Macaca fascicularis: one gene and its partners. The protein of the gene in region 6 interacts with the protein of the main gene of each other region in a pairwise test. Links are inferred from orthologs where the notes say so. Each region holds a gene or a part of one and is shown on either strand. Other genes may lie near its edges. The genes, in order: EAF1, TNFAIP8L1, EAF2, WDR25, PRR13 and PSME3.

Evidence for each region.
Region 1: the proteins of PSME3 (region 6) and EAF1 interact in binary tests that used the Homo sapiens proteins (3 or more experiments, as listed by UniProt). The two-hybrid records come from large-scale screens. The link is inferred for Macaca fascicularis from reciprocal best matches to the Homo sapiens genes PSME3 and EAF1.
Region 2: the proteins of PSME3 (region 6) and TNFAIP8L1 interact in binary tests that used the Homo sapiens proteins (3 or more experiments, as listed by UniProt). The two-hybrid records come from large-scale screens. The link is inferred for Macaca fascicularis from reciprocal best matches to the Homo sapiens genes PSME3 and TNFAIP8L1.
Region 3: the proteins of PSME3 (region 6) and EAF2 interact in binary tests that used the Homo sapiens proteins (3 or more experiments, as listed by UniProt). The two-hybrid records come from large-scale screens. The link is inferred for Macaca fascicularis from reciprocal best matches to the Homo sapiens genes PSME3 and EAF2.
Region 4: the proteins of PSME3 (region 6) and WDR25 interact in binary tests that used the Homo sapiens proteins (3 or more experiments, as listed by UniProt). The two-hybrid records come from large-scale screens. The link is inferred for Macaca fascicularis from reciprocal best matches to the Homo sapiens genes PSME3 and WDR25.
Region 5: the proteins of PSME3 (region 6) and PRR13 interact in binary tests that used the Homo sapiens proteins (3 or more experiments, as listed by UniProt). The two-hybrid records come from large-scale screens. The link is inferred for Macaca fascicularis from reciprocal best matches to the Homo sapiens genes PSME3 and PRR13.

The regions. Positions count from the first base shown.
Region 1 is NC_088376.1:32,924,052-32,928,269, forward strand, and holds the start of EAF1 (ELL-associated factor 1), read right to left. Parts: upstream 2,801-4,218; 5' UTR 2,585-2,800; coding exon 2,482-2,584; exon of another isoform or gene 2,245-2,481; intron 419-2,244; coding exon 324-418; intron 1-323. Other genes in the region: tRNA N(3)-cytidine methyltransferase METTL6, read left to right, coding at 3,862-4,086. UniProt on the Homo sapiens protein: Acts as a transcriptional transactivator of ELL and ELL2 elongation activities.
Region 2 is NC_088393.1:5,401,429-5,405,725, reverse strand, and holds the start of TNFAIP8L1 (tumor necrosis factor alpha-induced protein 8-like protein 1), read right to left. Parts: upstream 2,801-4,297; 5' UTR 2,675-2,800; intron 1,361-2,674; exon of another isoform or gene 1,312-1,360; intron 1-1,311. UniProt on the Homo sapiens protein: Acts as a negative regulator of mTOR activity.
Region 3 is NC_088376.1:161,387,226-161,390,725, forward strand, and holds part of EAF2 (ELL-associated factor 2), read right to left. Parts: intron 1,567-3,500; coding exon 1,430-1,566; intron 1-1,429. UniProt on the Homo sapiens protein: Acts as a transcriptional transactivator of TCEA1 elongation activity. Acts as a transcriptional transactivator of ELL and ELL2 elongation activities. Potent inducer of apoptosis in prostatic and non-prostatic cell lines.
Region 4 is NC_088381.1:168,621,259-168,623,868, reverse strand, and holds the end of WDR25 (WD repeat-containing protein 25), read right to left. Parts: intron 1,722-2,610; coding exon 1,581-1,721; intron 972-1,580; coding exon 750-971; 3' UTR 501-749; downstream 1-500.
Region 5 is NC_088385.1:60,246,428-60,250,434, reverse strand, and holds the start of PRR13 (proline-rich protein 13), read right to left. Parts: upstream 2,801-4,007; 5' UTR 2,759-2,800; intron 2,649-2,758; 5' UTR 2,560-2,648; intron 1,867-2,559; 5' UTR 1,847-1,866; coding exon 1,828-1,846; intron 1,143-1,827; coding exon 769-1,142; intron 1-768. UniProt on the Homo sapiens protein: Negatively regulates TSP1 expression at the level of transcription. This down-regulation was shown to reduce taxane-induced apoptosis.
Region 6 is NC_088390.1:63,893,856-63,897,163, reverse strand, and holds part of PSME3 (proteasome activator complex subunit 3), read right to left. Parts: intron 3,078-3,308; coding exon 3,029-3,077; intron 2,639-3,028; coding exon 2,526-2,638; intron 1,996-2,525; coding exon 1,927-1,995; intron 1,782-1,926; coding exon 1,714-1,781; intron 1,615-1,713; coding exon 1,560-1,614; intron 1,433-1,559; coding exon 1,346-1,432; intron 1-1,345. UniProt on the Homo sapiens protein: Subunit of the 11S REG-gamma (also called PA28-gamma) proteasome regulator, a doughnut-shaped homoheptamer which associates with the proteasome. 11S REG-gamma activates the trypsin-like catalytic subunit of the proteasome but inhibits the chymotrypsin-like and postglutamyl-preferring (PGPH) subunits.

The DNA of each region.
Region 1 (4,218 bases), on a different chromosome or scaffold from region 6:
CCATCACCCCCAGCTAATTTTTTTGTATTTTTGGTACAGACGGGGTTTCACCATGTTGCCCAGGCTGGTCTTGAACTCCTGAACTCAAGCTATCTACCCACTTCCACCTCCCAAAGTGCTAAGATTACAAGAATTATTTTTAAATCAAGCACCTGCCTAGCATGAAGTCCACCCCACCCCACTCCCCAAAATTCCTTTTTTCCCTTATGTTGCCACTTTAGAAATCTAAACATTTTTAAAAGTAGGAAGTTTAAATTGCAATAACATAAAAGATGAAGATCCATTGTGATCCTACATTTAAAAAAACAATGAAATAAACTCACAGGGATATGTGGCAGTGTAATTGTGACTTCATCTCCTTTGCCAACTTGAAGCTCTCCTTCACAGGAAGTGTCTATAGATGCTGGTTTAAAATCATCTAAAGGGAAAGGAAAGAAAACACTTACCCACCAGGTTACTTATAATAAGGGCCTCCTGGACATCTCCATTTAAGAATTAAATTTGTTATTACTCAGATGAATGAAAAATAAAAATAATTCAGAATTCTTAAAAACCGGTTTCATTATGGAAAACTTCAGATATACAAAAGTAGAGAAAATCGTACAATGAGCCCTGGTGTACCATTATCCAGTTTCTATTATTACCAACTCAGGGACAATCCTGTTTCATCTACACCTCTACAAACTTTTCCTCTGACCCCCTTTGGATTATTCTAGGGGGAAAAAAGAATTTACAGGCCATTTTATTAAAGATATTCCCTTCTCCCAAGGGAGAGATGAAAATGAAGGTCTCATCATCCATAATAAGTTGCTTTTTTAGGGTTGTGAGGATCAAAAGTAACAGCATATGAAAAAGATCCTGTGACTGTAAACTCTATGAAATACGAAAGGCCACTGCATCATCAAAAGCTGATTTCACTCTGCATAGAAACTGTCAAAATTAGGATTTGCCATACTCAAGTTCCATAGCTGTTTTTTTTCTTTCTTTCTTTCTTTTTAAATAGTGATGGGCCTACGCTGCCCAGGCTGGTCTCAAACTCCTGGGCTCAAGCTATCTGCCCGCCTCGGCCTCCCAAAGTACTGGGATTATCGTGTCAGCCACCACTCTCAGCCAGTTCTGCAGCTTTAACCAAGACAATTCTGTAGTTTATAGCAGACAACTTAACTGTATCTCCACAAGTTATCCTGCTCGTGTTTCTAAACTGCAGTTAGAGTACAACATGAATAGCCATCTTAATTCACATTCACATCTGCCTCAAACTGCAGGGCAGGTGCACACATGAACTGTATGATTTAAATTCCACATTGCCCTTCACCAAAAGAGAACATCAACTTAGTAAACTCTTCAGGAAATGATGTTCTTATCTCATTCCCAATCTCCTCTCTGAAAGAGCTGGATCTGCTGTCAGTAGGAAGCATAGTAATGGCATGGCAAGTGACTACACAAAGATGGGATTTCATTATCTAAGACGCCCTCTTCACATGTGTTGAGTCACATCTATCAGGTCCTCTGACAAAAACAAGTCTTAACAACAGCGTTAGCGCCACGGAAACCAGAAGTTCATGAATCACGGAGGGATGCTCTGTCAGCCAATTCCTAACTGCCAAACCTTCACCCAGGACATAGGGTGGAAGTGCACTCTCAACAGAGTCTATAATCATGTAGAAAAAGGTCCGGCATAATGACTATTTGGCCATTCCTTACGCCTGCTCTCTTCTGCTTCCAAACATAGACCAATCTTTAACCTATCCCAGGCTCACGAACTCTGATTTGACTCTTTACCCACAAGGAACTTGGTCTGGAGGAAAAGCCCGTATGGTATAGGTGACCTCAAAAGACATCCAAGTCAAATGAAGCACAGAAAGGAGATGGAAGAAAACTCTGAGGCGCAGAGAGGATGCCAATTCTTTGGCTGTAAAGGGGACAAAGCGCAGTATCTGGGAGTCCAGAACCAAGTCGGAGGAGGAAAGCAGGGAAGAGAAGGGGTTCGGAGGGAGTGGATGAGGGTCGTAATAAACAAGAAGCGTCTTTTAACTATGGAGAACCCTGATGGGAGCATTGGAAAGGAGGGGAGGGGTTTCGAGGAAGAAGTGGACCCGGATAAGAGGGGGGAGGTTTGCCTTGGGGGAGGGAGGTTTGCCTTAGGGGCGGGAGGTTTGCCTTAGGGGCGGGAGGTTTGCCTTAGGGGCGACGTCGGGGGAGGGGAGGGATGGAACCAAAACGAGGCCAAAGACCTTTGGAACTAGTGTTTGAGACTATAAAGTAGAAGAATAGTAGGGAGTGACGAAGATTTGGGAGAAATAATCTGGGTAAAAGAAGGGCCAACTCGAGGTCCCAAAGGATTGGGGGTTCGAGAGAAAGTAACTGACGCTGGCAGGGGGTTCCCTGGAATCTGAAGGGCCGAGAGAAGAAAGGAAGGAGTCAAGGTTGACATGTGGCGGCTTGAGCGGCCGAAGGGAACCGTGGGGAGCGCTGACTTACAACGAATAGTGTGAAAGGAGGCCCGCGGTCGCTTCTCGAAGCTCTCCCCGAGTCTCAGGCAATGTTCCTCGCGGTCCAGCAGCGGGTTCGCGGTCCCATTCATGGCCCCGCACCGGCCTCGCACCCAGATCGGCGCTCTCCTGGCGCAGCCGCGATCGGAGCTTCCGGCGCTGGCGTCTGGGAGGACTGTGCTCCCGGGACACCGCTCTAGGGGGCAAGGAGAGCAAAGCCGGCACCCACCCGGGTCCAGAAGCAAGTCCTGTTCTCTGCCTCGGGATAAAGGAAGAATCTGAAGGGGCAAGGCCGGGGGACTTCCGGCGTCGGGTAGGAACTTCCGGGTTCCTAGCGGAAGTGGCGGGGGCGGTGCCATGGCGAAAGAACTCCTCCCGGAGATTCCCAATTTGTGATTCTCAGAATTGGCTCAGGGTTGTTTCGCAGTTCCTCCCATATTCTGCCTCCGAGATCTGGGGCTGGCTGTAGGGTGAGTGCGCCTGGCCCTACCCCTACAGGTGAATTTAGGAACTGATGATGGTGATCCCTGAGCGTGGCTGACTAGATTAACGCGGGTAGGCTAGCCATCACGGACGCCCTCCTCAGGGTCCAGGGGCCCATGCGGCCTAGTCTATCCTGAGTGTCCTGAGATGGATCCTCGGGACCTCAGCCACGCGTCACTGGGTCTCTTTCTCCACTTTGCGCAGTGATGGCGGTGCGAGGGCCTCAGTCCCTGAAAAGTGACGTTCCCTCTGGTTCCTACGACAGCCTCTTGTGAGTGCGGTCAGGAAATGAGCCCACCCAGGCTTAGCTTCATTTCCCCCGAAAAAACGGAGCTCCGACCCTTGGAAAACGGTGACCTCACTTGTATCTGGCAATTGACCACCCGCTTCCAGCTAAGTCCATTGTGGTTTTTAAGTCACCCCTTTCGCGGGCACCGAAAATTGAGTAATATTTTCTTCGCAAGGTTTCCCAGTCAGTTCGTGAGAGCGTCCTTTTTTTTCCTAAACTAAATCGATTTATTGTAATAGTTGACTCATCTGGTTTGAATAAAAGTATGGTGCATGAGATAGTCCTGGCCACTGAATGAATTTAAGCCCTCTGAAGTTAGGGACTGTTGTCTTTGTCGTCCTTGTGACCTCTCATATAGCGGGGAGGATTTTTTTTTTGTACAGTCTGCATCTCATAAACATTTGGTGAATTGAACCTGGCGTCTTGAACCGTTCTAGAACCACTAACCAGAATCTCATTCTTTTGTCTGCGAAGCCCCTGTGCTGTTTGAGGCGTGAAACTCACCTGAGGAAATGCATCTGATCCATTAGCATGGATTCATATTATTTGGGGATGGAGAATCTTCAGCTGTGTTAAGTGTTACCTTCAGTTTCTGAGATGACTTCTTTGCCAAGGAAGAGGCTGCAGGCAAGGGTTCTCAGCTCTGAAGAAGAGGAGAAACTGAAAAGAGACCAAACTTTGGTGTCTGATTTTAAACAGCACAAATTGGAACAAGAGGCTCAGAAAAACTGGGATCTTTTTTACAAAAGAAATAGCACTAATTTCTTCAAAGACAGACACTGGACCACCAGAGAGTTTGAGGAGCTAAGATCATGTAGAGAGGTAAGCTAATATTACGCCTTATCTGAGCTGTTCTTAATTTAAAATGTGAAGAGGGCCCAGTGCAGTGGCTCATGCCTGTAATCCCAGTACCTGGGGAGGCCGAGGCAGGCGGATCACGAGGTCAAGAGATTG
Region 2 (4,297 bases), on a different chromosome or scaffold from region 6:
CCAGGCTGGTCTCGAATTCCTCACCTCAGGTGATCCGCCCGCCTCGGCCTCCCAACGTGCTGGGATTACAGGCGTGAGCCATGGCGCCCAGCCAATTCTCTTCTTTTTCTTTAAGACAGGGTCTCACTCCTGTCACCCAGGCTGGAGCGCAGTGGTGTGATCTCGGCTCACTGCAGCCTCAACCTCCCTGGGCTCAGGTGATCCTCCCACCTCAGCCTCCAGAGTGGCTGGGACTACAGGCCCGCGCCACCACACCTGGCTAATTTTTTCTTTTTCTTTGTTTTCAGTAGAGACAGGGTTTCACCATGTTGCCCAGGCTGGGAAATTCTCTAGATGGACCTGCAAGGTTTTGGTTATGGGGAAACTGAGTCAGAGAGGGTCACGAGCTTATAAAGCAGTGATGTGGCAGAATCAGAATTTGAACCCAGCCTTTAACCTAGCGCAATCCTTTCCCCATCCTAGTCCACAGCACATTTGAGGTTCAAGTCTCCTCTCTCCCAGAGCTCACCCCAGAGGGGAAGGATGGAAGCCTTAGGAAGCTTCTAGAAGCACTGTGTCCTGTAATCCCCTCCTCGGGCCTTTGACAATGTCTTGCTGAATCACCCCCACCCCTCAAAGCACCCTCCCTCCCCCCAGTTATCTCAGCCCCTTTCCACAAGAAAAAGGAGATGACCAGCCCCATTGGACAGATGGGGAAACTGAGGCCTAGAAGCTGGGAATTTACAAGATCCCAGGAACTCTGCCAGAGGTCCCTGCGTCAAAGCTCGGGTGGGTGTGATTCCAGGGAAGTTGTCTGCTGAGGGGTGTCGGGGGATGCTGGGAAGGGGCAGGCAGGCTGTGGAACCAGGCGGTTCCTCCCTCTCGATCTGCCTCCTCGCGCCCCTCCCTGTCTGTAACACCTGAGGCTGTACCTGGGCAAGTGTGAGTCATTTTTTAGCGCTGACGTCTCTCTGGGAGAAGTGTTTCCCCGTCAATGGCTGGAGTTTTATCCTCAAGGCACCCTTTCGTGGCCCCATTGGACAGACAGGGACACTGAGTCCTCTGGAACCCACCATACTGAATTGTCAGGCAATCAAAGGACCCCTCGCCCACCTGGGCTGACCCCTGGAGGAACGGGGACGAGGAAACTGAGGTTCTGGGGGCACCTGACAGTTGGCCCAAGGCCACACAGAGGGAGGGGCACACGGCGGGGCCTCAGACCTGCACCCGTCTGCAGAGCCGCTTCCTTTAGGGACCCCCTGGTACCCCACGATTAGAGCAGGATTCAAGTCCCCTCCAGCCCATAGTCCCCCCAGGGGTCTAAGCACTCACCCGCCACCTGTGTCCCAGGCTGCTCCAGCCTCTGGCCAGTTCCCAATTCACCCAGGTGTTTGTGTGGCTGGAGACAGCCCTTTGTTCACTGTTTCCATAGGTACAGCGTCCCTGAACGGCCCCTCCTCTGCCCCTCCCAGCCCTTGCCTATGCAGGTCCTGGGCCGGCCCATACAGGGAGCTTGTTATGTTTCAAAGTTGGCGCCCTCGGACCTGCCGTGGTGGCAGAGGGCATAGCCCATGCAAAGGCCCTGAGGCAGGACCTCGCCTGGGGTGCTGGAGGAACAGGAGGAGGCCAGTGCGACTGGGGCAGAGCCACGGCGAGGGTCAGGGGGGTTACAAGCAGGGCCTGTATTCCTGCACCTGATCCCCCAGCAGTCGTAATTCGGTGAGTTACGACCCACTCCTGTTTTACAGATGAGGAAACAGGCTCAGCAGAATTGAAAAACTGGTTCAAGGTACCATGCGGGTGGCAGAGTTCAAATCTAGATTTGCCCAAGCTCCGCCACGACTGGGCTGACCCCACTGGGACCTCCCGAGGCGTTCACCGCCCCCAGCTGAGCTGGGACTGGCTCAGGAAAGAACCTCTGGTAGCCTGTTTACACCTAGAGCTGCTCCTCCCCCAGCCCTTCCCCCCACCATAGAGAAGGTGCTGGAAAATGTGAGGATGCAGAGAAAACAGATTCTGTCCTTCCTGTGTCCCCACCTCCCTGGCCAAACATTGGAAGCATTGGCCTCTTTCTAGGCCTTAGTTTACCATCCCAGGAAATGGACCTAGTTCGACTTCACAGAAAAGGCCAGGAGGCGACAGACGTCCTTCAGATCACCTGCCAATTACCTTGGCAGCGACGGTCCCAGTTCACAGCTGGCAAAACTGAGGCCACGGCCCCACAGGCCACTTGGGAGTTCGTTAGGGGCCAGTCCGGGTGGGCCTGGGCGGGCCTAGGCCTGGCTCCCCGCCACCGATGCCTGGTTTAGCCAGAAGCTACAGTCAAAGCTACAGTCATGCCCACCTCCGCATGGCTGGCCCAGCTGCCCACCTCCTGGAATGCCCTCGGGGTTCTGGAATCTGTCCTGAGCACCTGTGGCCCTGCAGTTAAAGGGGGCAGAGTCCACTAGATTCCACGGAGGGGTGGGGGTGCTGGTCCCAAGCAGAGCCCCACGCCAAGGGGGGCAATTGAGACTCAACCTGTCTCTCCCTAACCTATACAGCAAGAGGGACAGAGAGACAGAGGGAAACTGAGGCAGGAATGCAGACGGACAGGCGGCGGGGTGCAGAAGCATTACCGGGCGGGAGAGACAGGGCGGCCAGGTGGTCCCCGGGATGCGCTGAAATAGGGGGCGCCCCGGCACTTCTCGCTCACCTGCTCTCGGAGCAGAGTCCGTGCGTCCAACCGTCGGGGGTCAGTCCAGCCGCCTCCGTGGGCTGGGGCCGTTGCCGCGGCAGTGGGAGCAGCGCCGGAGCGGGGCCGGGGCCGGGGCGGGGCGGCAGCGCGGCCCCGCCCTCCACTTGCCTCGCCCCTCGGCAGGACACGCCCTCCACTCGCCCCGCCCGCAGGAAGGGACCGGAGAGTTGCCAGGCATGGAGGGCGGGCCGAGCGCTTCGGATTAGCCAATGACAGGGGGGCAATGTACGAAGAGGCCAATGGAAGCAGGGCACTGCGACGGGAGGAGGTGGGGGAAGGGGCGGAGCCTGGGGCGGGGTCAGGCGGGTCTGGGGGATTCCTCCGGAATAGCTAAGGGGCCCGGATGCGGGGGCGAGGCCGTAGTCGGGGCGCCGGCCACAGAAAAGGGAAAAGATAAGAGTATGAGACAGACGGAGAACCTGGGGAGGGAGGCACAGAGGCACCAACAGGAAGAGACCGGAGAGCCAAAAGGCAAAACAGAGCAACCACGTGGTTCTGCACGGGCCCCTTCCTCCTTCTGGGGCTCAGTTTACCCACCTGGGTAATAGGAATTTCGGCAGAAGCATGTTTCTCAAAGTTCGGCCTCGGGGAACCTTTCGCGTCAGAGAGGCAATGTAAAAATGCATTGGGCGCGGTGGCTCACGCCTGTAATCCCAGCACTTCGGTAGGCCGAGGCGGGCAGATCACGAGGTCAGCAGATCGAGACCATCCCGGCTAACACGGTGAAAGCCCGTCTCTACTAAAAATACAATAAATTGGCCGGGCGCGGTGGCTCAAGCCTGTAATCCCAGCACTTTGGGAGGCCGAGACGGGCGGATCACTAGGTCAGGAGATCGAGACCATCCTGGCGAACACGGTGAAACCCCGTCTCTACTAAAAAATACAAAAAACTAGCCGGGCGAGGCGGCGGGCGCCTGTAGTCCCAGCTACTCGGGAGGCTGAGGCAGGAGAATGGCGTAAACCCGGGGGGCGGAGCTTGCAGTGAGCTGAGATCCGGCCACTGCACTCCAGCCCGGGCGACAGAGCCAGACTCCGTCTCAAAAAAAAAAAAATTAAATTTAAAAAAAAAAATTAGCTGGGCGTGGTGGCGGCGCCTGTAGTCCCAGCTACTCAGGAGGCTGAGGCAGAAGAATGGCGTGAACCCGGGAGGCGGAGCTTACAGTGAGCCGAGATCGCGCCACTGCACTCCAGCCTGGGCGACAGAGCGAGACCGTCTCAAAAAAAAAAAAAAAAAATGCAGGTTCCTACTAGGCGTGGTGCCTCACACCTGGAATCCCAGACCTTTGGGAGGCCAACGCAGGAGGATCCCTTCAGCCCAGGAGTTTGAAACCAGCCCAGGCAACATAGGGAGACCCTGTCTCTACAAAAAAAGAACAAAAGAAGTTAAAAATTTAAAAATACAGATTTCTGTGCCACTAGAAGGGATGAATGTAACCCAGGGTTGTGGGGCTAAGATCAATCTTTGGGGTGAGGTGGAGGACGCCTGGAGACACCATCAGAGGATCGCCAAATCCAGCCTCAATTTCCATAGGAATGAGCCTGCAGGACACACAGGAGCTCCCCGGCTGCGCAGCGCCAGCT
Region 3 (3,500 bases), on a different chromosome or scaffold from region 6:
TTTGCCTCTCCCATTTCCAGTCACCAAATCCTGTCAGTTCTTCCTTCAAAGAGTCTTTAGAACCTCACTTTTCTCTTCATTTCTGCTCTCAAAAAATCCTGGTTTATACATTTTTCTGATTCCTGCATTGTTTCATTTACTCAGCTTTTCTACTGAATTAATGTTTTAAAACAAAACTGTAAACATGCCAATCCCTGGTTAAAAAGACTTTAATATGCAACCACTACCAGCAAGATAATGTCCTAATTTCTTAGTTAATATTGATGGCACTAACCTCAACCAACGAAATTACAAACTTACCTCTAGCCCAATATCAATATCGCCCCCTACTTTCCAAAATATATACACGGGTACAGAGACAAACCTCTGCTCCGTTCAAATAGGTCTTACTCATTGGCCCTGAATAAGTCAGATACATTCCTGCCTTCAAACTTGGCTTACACCCTCATCTCCTCTCTAATCAATTAAATCGTATTTCACAAACTTTCTTCTGGTGTGAATCACAGCAGGGCATAGATGGTAGAGGTGAGGGGATATTAAAAAATAGAGTTTCCCAGGATCCTTCCCTGATTTAAGGCTGGATTCAGGAACTAATTTTTAACAAGCACCCAAGGTAATTCTTATGATCCTAACCTCCCCTTATGGTACCTCAAAAAGGCCTCCCTGAATGTTCCGATCTACCATTACTTCTCCTTTTTCTTAATTCCTAGAGCAATTTTTGTCTATACTATTTGCATGGCTTTTAGAGCAAACATCCTTATATTACATGGTAAGTAATGTCTCACCTATTTCCAAAAAGGATTTGAGATGGGTATATTCTCCTATTGACTTTTTAAATGGAATGGTCTGTTTACCTGAATAAAACGCAGAAGTTCTGAGGCGTTTGCAGAGCAAACTTTCCTTTTTCTAGTACCTTACACAGCATAGGTACTCAATAAATTTTTACTAATGAAGATGAAATTATTTTAGAGAATGTATAATGGCTCCCTTCAATCCAGTTATACAGAAGTATCTACAATAGGATAAAAAGTATACCTATACCTATAGAAAGCACTTAGAAGCAAAACAAGCTTTTATATATCACAGGGTGATGTGGTAAAAAGCTTTTGGCTTAGGATCTCCATCAAATTTTTTTTTTTTTTTTTTGAGATGGAGTCTTGCTCTGTCGCCCAGGCTGGAGTGTAGCGGCCGGATCTCAGCTCACTGCAAGCTCCGCCTCCCGGGTTTACACCATTCTGCCTCAGCCTCCTGAGTAGCTGGGTCTACAGGCGCCCGCCACCAAACTTAAACTTAGAAAAAGATTAAAACATTTTTGTACCACACATAAATAAACCTTATATTATAATGTTACTTAATATAGTAAATTTTTTCCTGACATTTCCTTAGAAATTAATGTTTATAATATAATTTATTTCATTAAACCACATACCTTGTTTTTTTTACAGTGATGTTGCTGCTGAGTTTTTCTAGTCGACATTCTCCGGTATCATGGTTAATAATCAAAATGCATTCTTTTAAGTAAGGTTTTTTTGAACCTTTGAAAACAGTTACTGGTGGAGTTGAACCCTGTTTAAAAAGTTAATTATTATTACTTAAAATTTATCATAGGAATTCAGTTGGGAAGGCCTTTGAAATCTTGATTCTGTGTTTCTCCTTCTATGTTATACTTCAAGTCACCCATAAACTACCTAAATTTACTACCCTGAATCCAAAGAGTGTAGTAAAAAAGACAGATGAAGATAGGCTGAAATCTCAAAGCTGCTGTCATTGAGGAAAGGGAAGAGAGGAAGTACTCACCTTGGGACCGTAAATATTCGTTTCACTGGCCTATAACGAGCAATTGAGATTCAATTCTAATACAACCAATATATTTTATGAATAAGGAAACAGAGCTTTGAATCATACTTTCTAGTCCTCTTTTTTTTTTTTTTTTTTTTTTTTTTTTTTTTTTGAGACAGAGTCTTGGTCTGTTGCCTGGGCTAGAGTGCAGTGGCACGATCTCTGCTCACTGTAACCTCCACCTCCCGGGTTGAAGTGATTCTCCTGCCTCAGCCTCCAGAGTAGCTGGGACTATAGGCATGGACAACCACGCCCAGCTAATTTTTCTATTTTTAGTAGAGACGGGGTTTCACCATGTTGGTCAAGCTGGTCTCGAACTCCTGACCTCAAGCGATCTCAGTCTACCAAAGTGCTGTGATTACAGACATGAGCCACTGTGCCCAGCCTCCTCATCTTCTTTCTTATTGCATTGTAAGTTTAATTTTTAAAATCTTGCATTTTCTTAAAGTAGTACCTCCCCATGCATATTAAGGAACACCTTTTACACTAAACCACTAATTAATTTTAGCATCCTTAAAGGTAAGATAAGCAGACATTATGTGCTTAATGATGTAATATAAAAGTACTCAGTGCCATCCATAAAATACTCTTGCCCAAAACCACACAAAAACCCCAAAGAATTTAATTCTTATCAAACCCCAAATAATCCGTAATCCAGCCTGCCCTTAGATATATAACTACCATTTCATAGAAAACAGAAGGAATAGAGGAACAAGATAAATACATCCATATAGAAGTAATTTGAAGTCCAGAATGTAGGTGTATTCTCTTGGACAGATAATACGGTTTTTCCAACAAACCAATGGCATAAAAAGGGAATGAGAACCAGGTGCAGGCACTGTAGTACCAGCTACTTGTGGAGGATGAGTGCTGAAGCAGGAGGACAGCTTGAAGCCAGGAGTTCTAGGCTTTAGTGTAACATAATCACACCCGTGAATAGCCACTGCACTCTCACCTGGGCAACACAGTGAGACCCTGCCTCTAAAAAGGATAAATTTAAAAAGGGGTGTAGAGAAAAGGAAGGGACTTTTAAAGAATAAAAGAGACAAGAAATATAGTATTCAAATACAATGTAGAAATCTTTTTTGGATTCTAGTTAGGACATTTTACAGACAAATGTCTGTAAAAACATGTTTTTGATATCATCACAAAATTGTGACTGTGGATGAAGTATTATTATTAATTATGTTATTTGTGACAATAGCATGGTGCTTAGATAAAGGTAGAAATGTCCTTATCAGTTAGAGATACAGAAGTAAGCATTGATGAAATGGTGCATTGTCTGGGATTTGCTATAAAATATGCCAAGGGAAAAAAGTGGTAAGACACTAGATTAAAAAATATATATTAGCAAAATGTTGGTAATTGTTAAAGCTCAGTGATGGGTACATGTCATTCATTATACTATTCTGTTGGCCATAAAATAAACCTGGATCATTACTAATAAACTACATCTACTTACATGCTCCTCCCATATCTTTTGTCCCTGCCCCATCAAACCTGAAAGAATTTTATGTTTGTCATTCTTTTGCTTTATCCTACATATATGTATTTCTAAACAATTATTTGTGTATGTTTGTCTTTGAAGTTTATAAAAGTACATTAAATTTTAATGGATTTATCATAATAATTTTGTCAAATATTACAAAAATAATAAAATA
Region 4 (2,610 bases), on a different chromosome or scaffold from region 6:
AGATCCCTGGGCTCCTGCAGTGGCCCCTCAGTTACAATTCTGTTGGGGTTTCCATCTAGTCAGCCTGTGCAGGCACCTGGGGAGCCAGGCCTCCTCCCAGCCCAGCTCCTCCAGGCTCCTCAAGGGTCCCTCCCTCACTTCTCCACGAGGCTCCCTCAGCAGGTGAGCACACCTGCGTGTGCAGCACGCACACTGGTGGGGAAAGAGGCGGCCCAAGGGGCCCAGGGCTTGGGCCAACCAGGGGCCCAGCTGGCCACAGTCCTGGGGAGTGCAAGCGGCTGGGGCCTGTGAGTCTGGTGGGGCACTGAGCTCCAACAGAATCCCTGAGGGCAGACCAAAGATACAGACTACCCCCACTTCAGGACTCCCTTGCTGGGACCCCCAGAGCGAGATGATCCCATCTCAAGCTCGCACAGTTCTCTCTGTCTCCAGAGCTCCAGCAGGCCTGGGAGGAAGGAGGTGAGAAGAAGCCGCTAATGCAAACTTATTGCTGAAAACACTTAACAAATAGCAAAACACACGTTTATTAGGCATCGCCGGCCGCCTGCCAGGCACTTTCACTATTGTAGTCCTCACACTCCTGAGGCAAACAGACTTTTGTCCCCACTTTACAGATGAGGAAACTGAGGCTCAGAGGGTGGTACCCAGGACCCACAGCCAACCTCTGTGCTCATTCCTCTCATACACCCTTGAGGAAGAGGGGAGTCCCAGAGCCCAGCTGGCAACGGGAAGGTTCAGTGACACAAAGCTCAGTGCCAGATCTTCATGTCCCCTCCCCAGGAGCAGGTGGCGAGGACGGAGGGCAGCACGGGGTGGTAGGTGGTGCCGACACAGGCCTGCGTGTGCCCCTGCAGTGTGCATGCCCGGCTGGCCGTGCGGAAGCTGTACATCAGGACCCGGCCATCGGCGCTGCCCGTCACCAGCAGGTCACCGCCTGGGGAGCACTCACAGCCCACTGAGTAGCCCTCCACCTGCAGAGAGGGACACAGCAGGTGAGTAGGCTGCACCTGTCAAGCTGGGGTGAGTACACCCATTCTACAGAGGAACAGGCCGAAGCCCCGAGCTGACAGAGCAGAGCTGGGCTTCACACCCCATTCCCTGAGGTCAAAGCCCAAGTCCCACCTATGAGGCTGTAGAGCCCTAATGCGGGCTCACATCCCAAGGCCAGTTCAGCAAATCCAGGGAGATCAGCTCCAGCCCAGCTGAGGGGTCTGGCCTCAGGGACAGTCACCCAGCCCCCAGCCCCTTTCACCCCATCAAGGCTGGCCTCACTGTGGAAAGGGGAGGGTGCAGAAATGACACCCATGACCATTCTGTCCTGTTCCCGCCACCCACCTCTGAGACCTGTCTGTGTGAGCCAACTACTGCTTCCTGCCCAGTACCTGGGCCCTGGGGTGAGGACCAGATGTGGCTCAGGGACTTGAAGAGATAGCAGGCCACATGGCATGCACTCACCAAGGAAACAGAAAGCAGGATCCGCCCAGACAGAAGCTCCATGCACCCCGGGGCCCATATCCAGGACTGCCAGGAGGCTTGGGGCTGGGGCTCAGCATTCGCCTGGGAGACAAGGACAGAAGTACCTTGTGCCCTTCATAGCGCCGCCGTCTGCTCATCCGGTAGGGCCACACAGTGGAGAAAAGGGCCATGTAGTTGCCATTGGTCTGTGCCAGGAACACGGGCTCTCTCGGGTGCAAGGCGAGGCTGGGGCAGGTGAACCTCTCCTGAGAAAAGCAGAGCCACAAATGGGTCGGAGAAGACACCCCCTACCCGGCACTCTGCTCTGAGGGGAAGCTCCGCTCCAGCTTCCCCTCCCACAGACAGGCACACAGTAGGTGCTGTAGACCTGGGGCCTGCTTCCAGACCCTTGCTGGGTGTCTCCATTGGTTTCCTATCGCTGCCATGACAAATCGCCACAAGCTTGGTGGCTCAAGACACACACATTTTACATCACACAGTTCTGCAAGTCAGAAGTCTGAAAGCGGCTTCACTGGGCTGAACTCAAGATGTTGGCGGGGCTGGACTTCTTTCTGGAGGCTAGAGGGACCCAAATTTCCTCCATGTTTCCCAGCTTCTACAACCTGCCTGTGTCCCTGTGGCAGGCAGGAAAAAGCCCCCCAAAATATACCCATGTTCTAATTCCTGAAACCTGTGAATGTTACCTTACAGGGTCAAAACCAAGGGTCTCTGCAGACATAATTAAGGATTCTGAGATAAGGAGATGATCCTATGTCACGCTACATGCAGTCACGTGCAGCCTTACAGAAAGGAAGCCAAGGCTGGGCGTGGTGGCTCACGCCTGTATCCCAGCACTTCGGGATGCTGAGACGGGCGGATCGCTTGAGCCCAGGAGTTCAACACCAGCCTGGGCAACACAGCAAAACCCCCATCTCTACAAAAGAAAAAAAAAAAAAAAAGAAACAAAGGGAAGGTGCAGAGATGTGACACACAGTGAAGGTGGTGTGAAGACGCTGGCTTGGAGGGCTGGAGAGATGCAGACACAAGCCAGGAATGCTGGCTGTCACCAAAAGCCAGAAGAGGCCAGGAGGGATTCTCCCCTTGACACTCCAGAGGGAACACACCCTGCCAACAACTTGATTTCAGCCCAATCAA
Region 5 (4,007 bases), on a different chromosome or scaffold from region 6:
GCAGTGGTGAGATCTGGGCTCACTGCAACCTCCGCCTCCCGGGTTCAAGCAATTCGCCTGCCTCAGCCTCCTGAGTAGCTGGGATTACAGGCATGCGCCACCACACCCAGCTAATAATTCCCAAGTGCTGGGATTACAGGCATGATCCTTACTAATTTTTAACAGTCCTCTAAAACAAAGATACTCAGCCTTGGGGCTGAGTATAAAACCTCCTTAGTCCTAGGCTGTTAGAGGCTGAGTCACTGACTGCTCTTGTCCTCACTTTTTCTGCTGGATGATAGGGCAAAGGGCCCATGTAATTAACACAAGGCCCTAAGAACACTGAAAGAGAGAAAGAACTCCAGGAACTAGGGCCATATTATTATTCTGTTAATTATTATAAGACTTTGCTTTGTCAAAGGAATGACTTTAATTGATGTTTTGATAATGTCAGTGAGGGGGTCCAACTTGCTAGAATATGCACCTGCGGGGAGGGGAGCAAAAGTTCTGGGAGAGAGTAGGGCAGAAAAGATTTGGCTTTTGATTCTAAAAATCTATTTTAAGGCTCACCCTAGCTCCCCCCAGATAGGAGAAGCCTGATGTTTCTTTTCAAGATAATCAGATTCTTCCCAGTAGCAATCTTTTACAAAAAGGAAGAATCATCGACCAGAGTGACACAATCGTCATCCCCCACGTCCACAGAATGTGAATCCCCCTCACCCAACCCCTGCCTACCTAGTCCCTCTGAGGGGGCACCCCTTCCCTAGCCAGGCTCCAGAGGGTACTGACCTTGCCACGCTTGTGGTGCTTGTGGTGCTTGTTCATCTTTTTATGAGCTTTCTTCATTTTCTTCTGCATCTTCTTGTCCACTATCACTGCTGGTCCGACCATGCCAGGAGCCAAGGGATTCACAGGAGGGATTCCAGGGGCAGGAGGTGGGTATGGAGGAGGGTAGGGACCCAAGGGTTGGCATCCTGGATACCCTGGCTGTGGCACAGGATGAGGGGGCCCACCTGGGGGGAAAGCTGGATTGCCCTGGGGAGCTCCTGGGGGAGGAGGACAGGGGCCTGAGGGAAAGAGTGGGTTAATAGGTGGTGGGTGGGCAGGATTGGAACCTCCAGGGCACCCGATGTTGGGGGTATATGGATTTGGCCCTGGCTGCCCTGGGGGAAGAAGCAGATTATAAACATTAGTATTCCCCAGAGTCTCCGACAACAAACAACAAAAAGAAAGAGATTCTTTCTCACCCAATACTTAAAGGGAAATGGAAAAGTGACAAAGGAGAATAGAAGGTAGGGGAGACAAACCTGAGTTGAGGATAAAAGGGGAATGTCCCCGTAAGGGCTGGAGAGAGGAGGGAGACAGTGAACTCTGAGGAAGACAAAAGTACTGGTCAGGCCGGTGGGGCGTGGTGGCTCAAGCCTGTAATCCCAGCAGTTTGGGAGGCCGAGGTGGACAGATCACATGAGGCCAGGAGTTCAAGACCAGCCTGGCCAACATGGTGAAACCCCGTCTCTACTAAAAATACAAAAAGTAGTCGGGCGTGATGGCGCACGCCTGTAATCTCAGCTACTCCAGAGGCTGAAACAGGAGAATCGCTTGAACCCAGGAGGCGGAGGTTGCAGTGAGCCGAGATCGCGCCACTGCACTCCAGCCTGGGCGACAGAGACTCCGTCTCAAAAAATAAATAAATAAAATAAAATAAAAAAGCACTGGTCAGCTGTAGACTAAGGACTTTGCTTTTGCGGGTGTGGCGGGTCGGGGATGGGGCAGCTGATAGAGAAACTTCCTGTTACAGAGTCCATCAGAAAAAGGGTTAGGGGTCGTACAGAACCCCCAAACACCTACCGGCATTGGGATTCCACATGTTTAGGTGTGTCCTCCAGCCTGAGGAGAAAGAAATGAGGCAAAAAAGATGACAGTCTAGAGGTAGGAAGTGGACTTAGCACCGGAGCCCAGCCCTAACGTCTTCCACCCCACAGTAGGCTCTCCCACCTGGAGAACTACCACGACTTCCACATAAGACACATCTCTTTTCTGGCTGGGCGCGGTGGCTCACGCTTGTAATCCCAGCACTTTGGGAGGCCAAGGCGGGTGCATCACGAGGTCAGGAATTCGACACCAGCCTGGCCAACATCGTTAAACCCCGTCTCTACTAAAAATCTAAAAATTAGCCGGGCGCGGTGGCGGGCGCCTGTAATCCCAGTTACTCGGGAGGCTGAGGCAGGAGAATCGCTTGAACCTGGGAGGCGGAGGTTACAGTGAGCTGAGATCGCGCCACTGCACTCTAGCCTGGGCAACAGAGCGAGACACCGCCTCGAAAAAAAAAAAAAGAAAGAAATGTCTCTTTCCACTTGTTTCTTCGCCCTCAATACCTACTTGGTTCCTAACACAGGAATCTAGTTCCCAGGGCCCCTCCACCTAGGTTGAAGCGTCTAACTCTTCGCAAGAGGGCATAGCCCGCGAGTCTCGGCACCCCCATCATTCATCCCCCTTTCCTGGAACTGAGTCCGGAGGCCTTTAACCACCCACAGAGTAAGAAAGGATCTCAAACAACTTTCTCCCTGGGGAGGACCTCACCTCAGGCTAAGAAAAGGATACGCCTGGAGGCGAAGAAGGAAGTTGCTCAAGAACCTCAAATACTTAAATAAATGGACACAGCCCAATTCCTCCAAAAAAGAAAAAAGGCAAATGAAGATCCTAGCCCCAAGCTGCGAAGGGGCTCTTAACCCAGCAATGGGAAAAGGAATAAACCCATGGAATTCAGATACCACGTCACCTTTCCACCGCCGCCTGGACTTGATGCGTTCTTCGCAGTCTCGGCTCTTACTTCCTAGTCACACCTAGTCACCCAGACCCCGTGCTTCGGTACCCGCCTCTGCTACTGCCTAATTGGTAATTATGTGGCCACTCGGCTGATGATTGGACAACAAACTAATCAATCACTCTGGTCCAACTGAGGAGGAAACGGTTGCTCTAGCTGCAGACCGGAGCCCTTTACGACTAGGCAAGTACTGAGAAGCCGGAAATCTCCTGGGGGCGGAGCTAGGCGGAGAGCGCTAGAGGGGGCGGGGCCAGCTGCTGGGCAAAGTCCTAGAGACACCGAGAAGAAACTCTGCCCTTGCTCTCTGCTAGTCATGGTTCACTGGGTGCAATACCTTGTAAAGTGAATACACTATGGTAAGTGTTGTAATACAGATATAGACAGAGTTCTCGGCAAGGGCAGAGGAGCTGCTGAGTCCTAGCCCCAAGCCTCAATGTTCTCGGCTCCCTCTTACACTCGCAAGGGAAGCAAACAAACATTCTTGCGGAAAATACAGAGATTTCATAATCTCTCCCAGGATTCCCTCTCTCAATTGCATAGCTCCGCCATCTGTCAAGAAGCCTAAACCAGAAACCAAGGAGGTCTTCCGTGATCCCTCTGTCTCCTTCACCTCCCTTACCCCAAATTACCAGTTTTGTCTCACAAATACATCTGGAATCTCTCCACTTCTCTCCGTCTTCCCTGGTCTAAACCTCCCATCATCTCTCGCCTGGATTCATTTCTCCCCTGAATTGCTACAATGGCCTCTTTTTTTTTTTTTTTTTTTTTTTTTTTTTTTTTTTTTTTTTGAGACGGAGTCTCGCTCTGTTGCCAGGCTGGAGTGCAGTGGTGCGACCTCAGCTCACTGCAACTTCCGCTTCCCGCGTTCAAGCGATTCTTCTGCCTCAGCCTCCCGAGTAGCTGGGACTACAGGCGCGGCTAATTTTTGTATTTCTTAGTAGAGATGGGGTTTCACCATGTTGGCCAGGATGGTCTCCATCTCTTGACTTCGTGATCTGCCTGCCTCGGCCTCCCAAAGTGCTGGGATTACAGGCGTGAGCCACCGCGCCCAGACTTTTTTTTTTTTTTTTTAAAGAAAACAATACAAGTGGCCAGGTACATTGGCTCATGCCTGTAATCCAAGCACTTTGGGAAGCCGAGGCGGGCGGATCACGAGGTCAGGAGTTCGAGACCAGCCTGGCCAATATGGTAAAACCCCGTTTCT
Region 6 (3,308 bases):
TCAAACTCCTGACCTCATGTGATCTACCTGCCTCAGCCTCCCACAGTGCTGGCATTACAGGTGTGATCCACCACACCCGGCCTCTTCAGTCCCATTTTATTTTTTTAATTTTAATTTTTATTTGAGGCTGAGTTTCGTTCTTATTGCCCAGGCTGGAGTCCAGAGGCACAATCTCGGCTCACTGCAACCTCCGCCTCCCGGGTTCAAGCAATTCTCCTGCCTCAGCATCCCAAGTAGCTAGGATTACAGGCATGCGCCAATTTTTTTTTGTATTTTTAGTAAAGACAGGGTTTTTCCATGTTGGTCAGGCTGGTCTCGAACTCCTGACCTGAAGTGATATGTCCGCCTCGGCCTCCCAAAGTGCTGATATTACAGGCGTGAGCCACCACACCAGGCCTATTTTTATTTTTATTTTTTTTGAGACGGAGTTTCACTCTTGTTGCCCAGGCTGGAGTGCAATGGCACGCTCTTGGCTCACCGTAAACTCCACTTCCTGGGTTCAAGTGATTCTCCTGCCTCAGCCTCCCAAGTAGCTGGGATTACAGCCATGTGCCACCACGCCCAGCTAATTTTGTATTTTTAGTAGAGACAAGGTTTCACCATGTTGGTCAGGCTGGTCTCAAACTCCTGACCTCAGGTGATCCACCTGGCTTGGCCTCCTGAAGTGCTGGGATTACAGACATGAGCGACTGCACCCAGCCCAGTCCCATTTTATTTTTTTTTTTTATTTTATTTTTTTTTTTGAGACGGAGTCTCACGCTGTTGCCCAGGCTGGAGTGCAGTGGCGTGATCTCGGCTCACTGCAAGCTCCGCCTCCCGGGTTCCCGCCATTCTCCTGCCTCAGCCTCCTGAGTAGCTGGGACTACAGGCGCCCGCCACCGCGCCCGGCTAATTTTTTGTATTTTTAGTAGAGATGGGGTTTCACTGTGGTCTCGATCTCCTGACCTTGTGATCCGCCCGCCTCGGCCTCCCAAAGTGCTGGGATTACAGGCTTGAGCCACCGCGCCCGGCCCCAGTCCCATTTTAAAGAAGAAATTGAAGTTTGAGCTTAAACAATTTGCTCGAGATCACACAATACAGGTAGAGCCTGGTTGCAAACCTAAGTCTGTCTGACTCTAACACCGATATCTTAACCATACTGTACGGCACACCCCTCCTCTCAGGCAGAAAGAAGAGAGAAACCCCGCTAGAGGACTTCATGGTTCTCAACACTCAGTTGATGAACAGAATTTAGTCTACTAATTTTACCTCAGACCTTCATCTCAGCCCTTCAGAGAATTTCAAGAATACTCTCGACAGAACTAAGTGAAGCCACAGCAACTATACAAGGACTGAGGTTACTCACATATTGATTCCTCAGCTCTGATATGATGAGCCGAAGGCTGATATATTCTTTCTCATCAATCTCTGTCACGGTGCGGCGATAGTCCTCCTGCAAGGAGGGTAGAGGAAAAAGCTAGTCCCCAAGGCCCAACTGTTCCCAGATAGCTCCTTCCCAGTAACAGTCACTGTTCACTATCCTGCCACCTCCACCCTCAGGCCACAAACCACTTACTTACCACATGGGGATATTTAGCTATTTTAGAAACCAATTTGGCTCTTGTAATATAATATCTGAAAGGAGAGAGAAGAGGAGGAAGCTGCAGGAGACCCTTGATGGTGCCCACCACCTCATCAGCCCCCAATGCCTCGGCCAAGCCCAAGCAGCCCTACCTAGAAATCTGGTCCAGATAAGATGCAGCTTCACTCTCAACAGTTCTTAGCTCTGCAACTGTTTCCTCCTAAAACAAACAAACAACAGGTGCATCAAAAGCCACTTCCATGACATCCACAGCAGCCCCAAGGAGAAAGGAAAAAAAGCTAACGCAGGGGAGATGAGAGTATCTCCCAAGCCGCTCTTCCCAGTTCGTAATTCAAGTACATTACCTGAATGGACACCCCAAAGTTGTTTCCATCTTCTATCCTGGGAATCAGGAGCTGTACCCACATTTTGACCTGGAGGTCAAAACATATATGAGGACCTTTGCCTGAAGGCTGAAGCCATTAAGTACACAATTCAGACGGCTGGGGCCAGATGCCAGGAACACAGAAGCCAAAATACCTAGTCTGGCCAGGCACAGTGGCTCACACCGGTAATCCCAGCAATTTGGGAGCCTGAAGCGAGTGGATCACCTGAGGTCAGGAGTTCGAGACCAGCCTGGCTAGCCATGGCCAAAATGGTGAAACCCCATCTCTACTAAAAACACAACAAGTAGCCGGGTGTGTTAGCAGGCACCTGTAAACCCAGCTACTCAGGAGGCTGAGGCAGGAGAATCGCTTGAACCCAGGAGGCAGAGGTTGCAGTGAGCCGAGATGGCGCCACTGCACTCCAACCTGGGTGACGGAGCAAGACCCCATCTCAAAAAAAAAAAAAACCACAAAAAAATCTAGTCTGCCAATTCCCATACCACCCGTACATCCACTGTTTCTTGCACTTCACGGGGGGTACTTGGGGCCGGCCCATAGGTCACTAGCCTGTGCCTCACCGTGTTACATTTCTCAATCAACAGCCGGATCTCAGGTTTCACTTTCTCAATAATGTCCACCAGCTGCTGGTTGCTTTTCAGCATCCCATTGGGCATCACAAACACCTTGGTTCCTGGCAGAGATATGAAGGTCAAATGATCAGGGAAGAGGGAAGGACACAGCATCCCGTCTCTCTCTCATTTTTCCTATACCTATCAGATGCTATGACCTCTGCCTTTGTCACAATCCTACCAAGACACCACTATTAGAATCAACGAGAATGTGTGGAACAAAAGAACAACAGATGAGCATCTGAAACATGACAAAAGTCTTAAACCCTCTGTTTATTGGAAAACCAGGTTAAGAGCACTAAATAACAAGCATGTTTGGAGGAGCTGGGAATGCTACCTCTGGGAAGTGAGATCAGATCTTGCCTCCTGGTCGGGAGAACTAGATCCACCTGCTTCTCAGGGTTGCAAGTCAGGGGTGGGGTGAGGAGAGGTAAGGTAAGGGTGCCTCTTACCTTGGAAGGCTTCTTCACACTCATCCAACCTTCGCTTCTTATAAGTGGGCTAAGGATACAAAGAGGCAGGGATGAGCCTTCTTTTGACACCCACATGTCCATCACAAGATACCCTCCAAGCAAGTTTAATCCCTTCCTCAGCCTCATAGTTTGTGTTATTAATTTCTGCACAATTTCCTAAGTACACATAAAGCTTTAAGAAAAGGTTCTTGGGGCTGGGCGCGGTGGCTCAAGCCTGTAATCCCAGCACTTTGGGAGGCCGAGATGGGTGGATCACGAG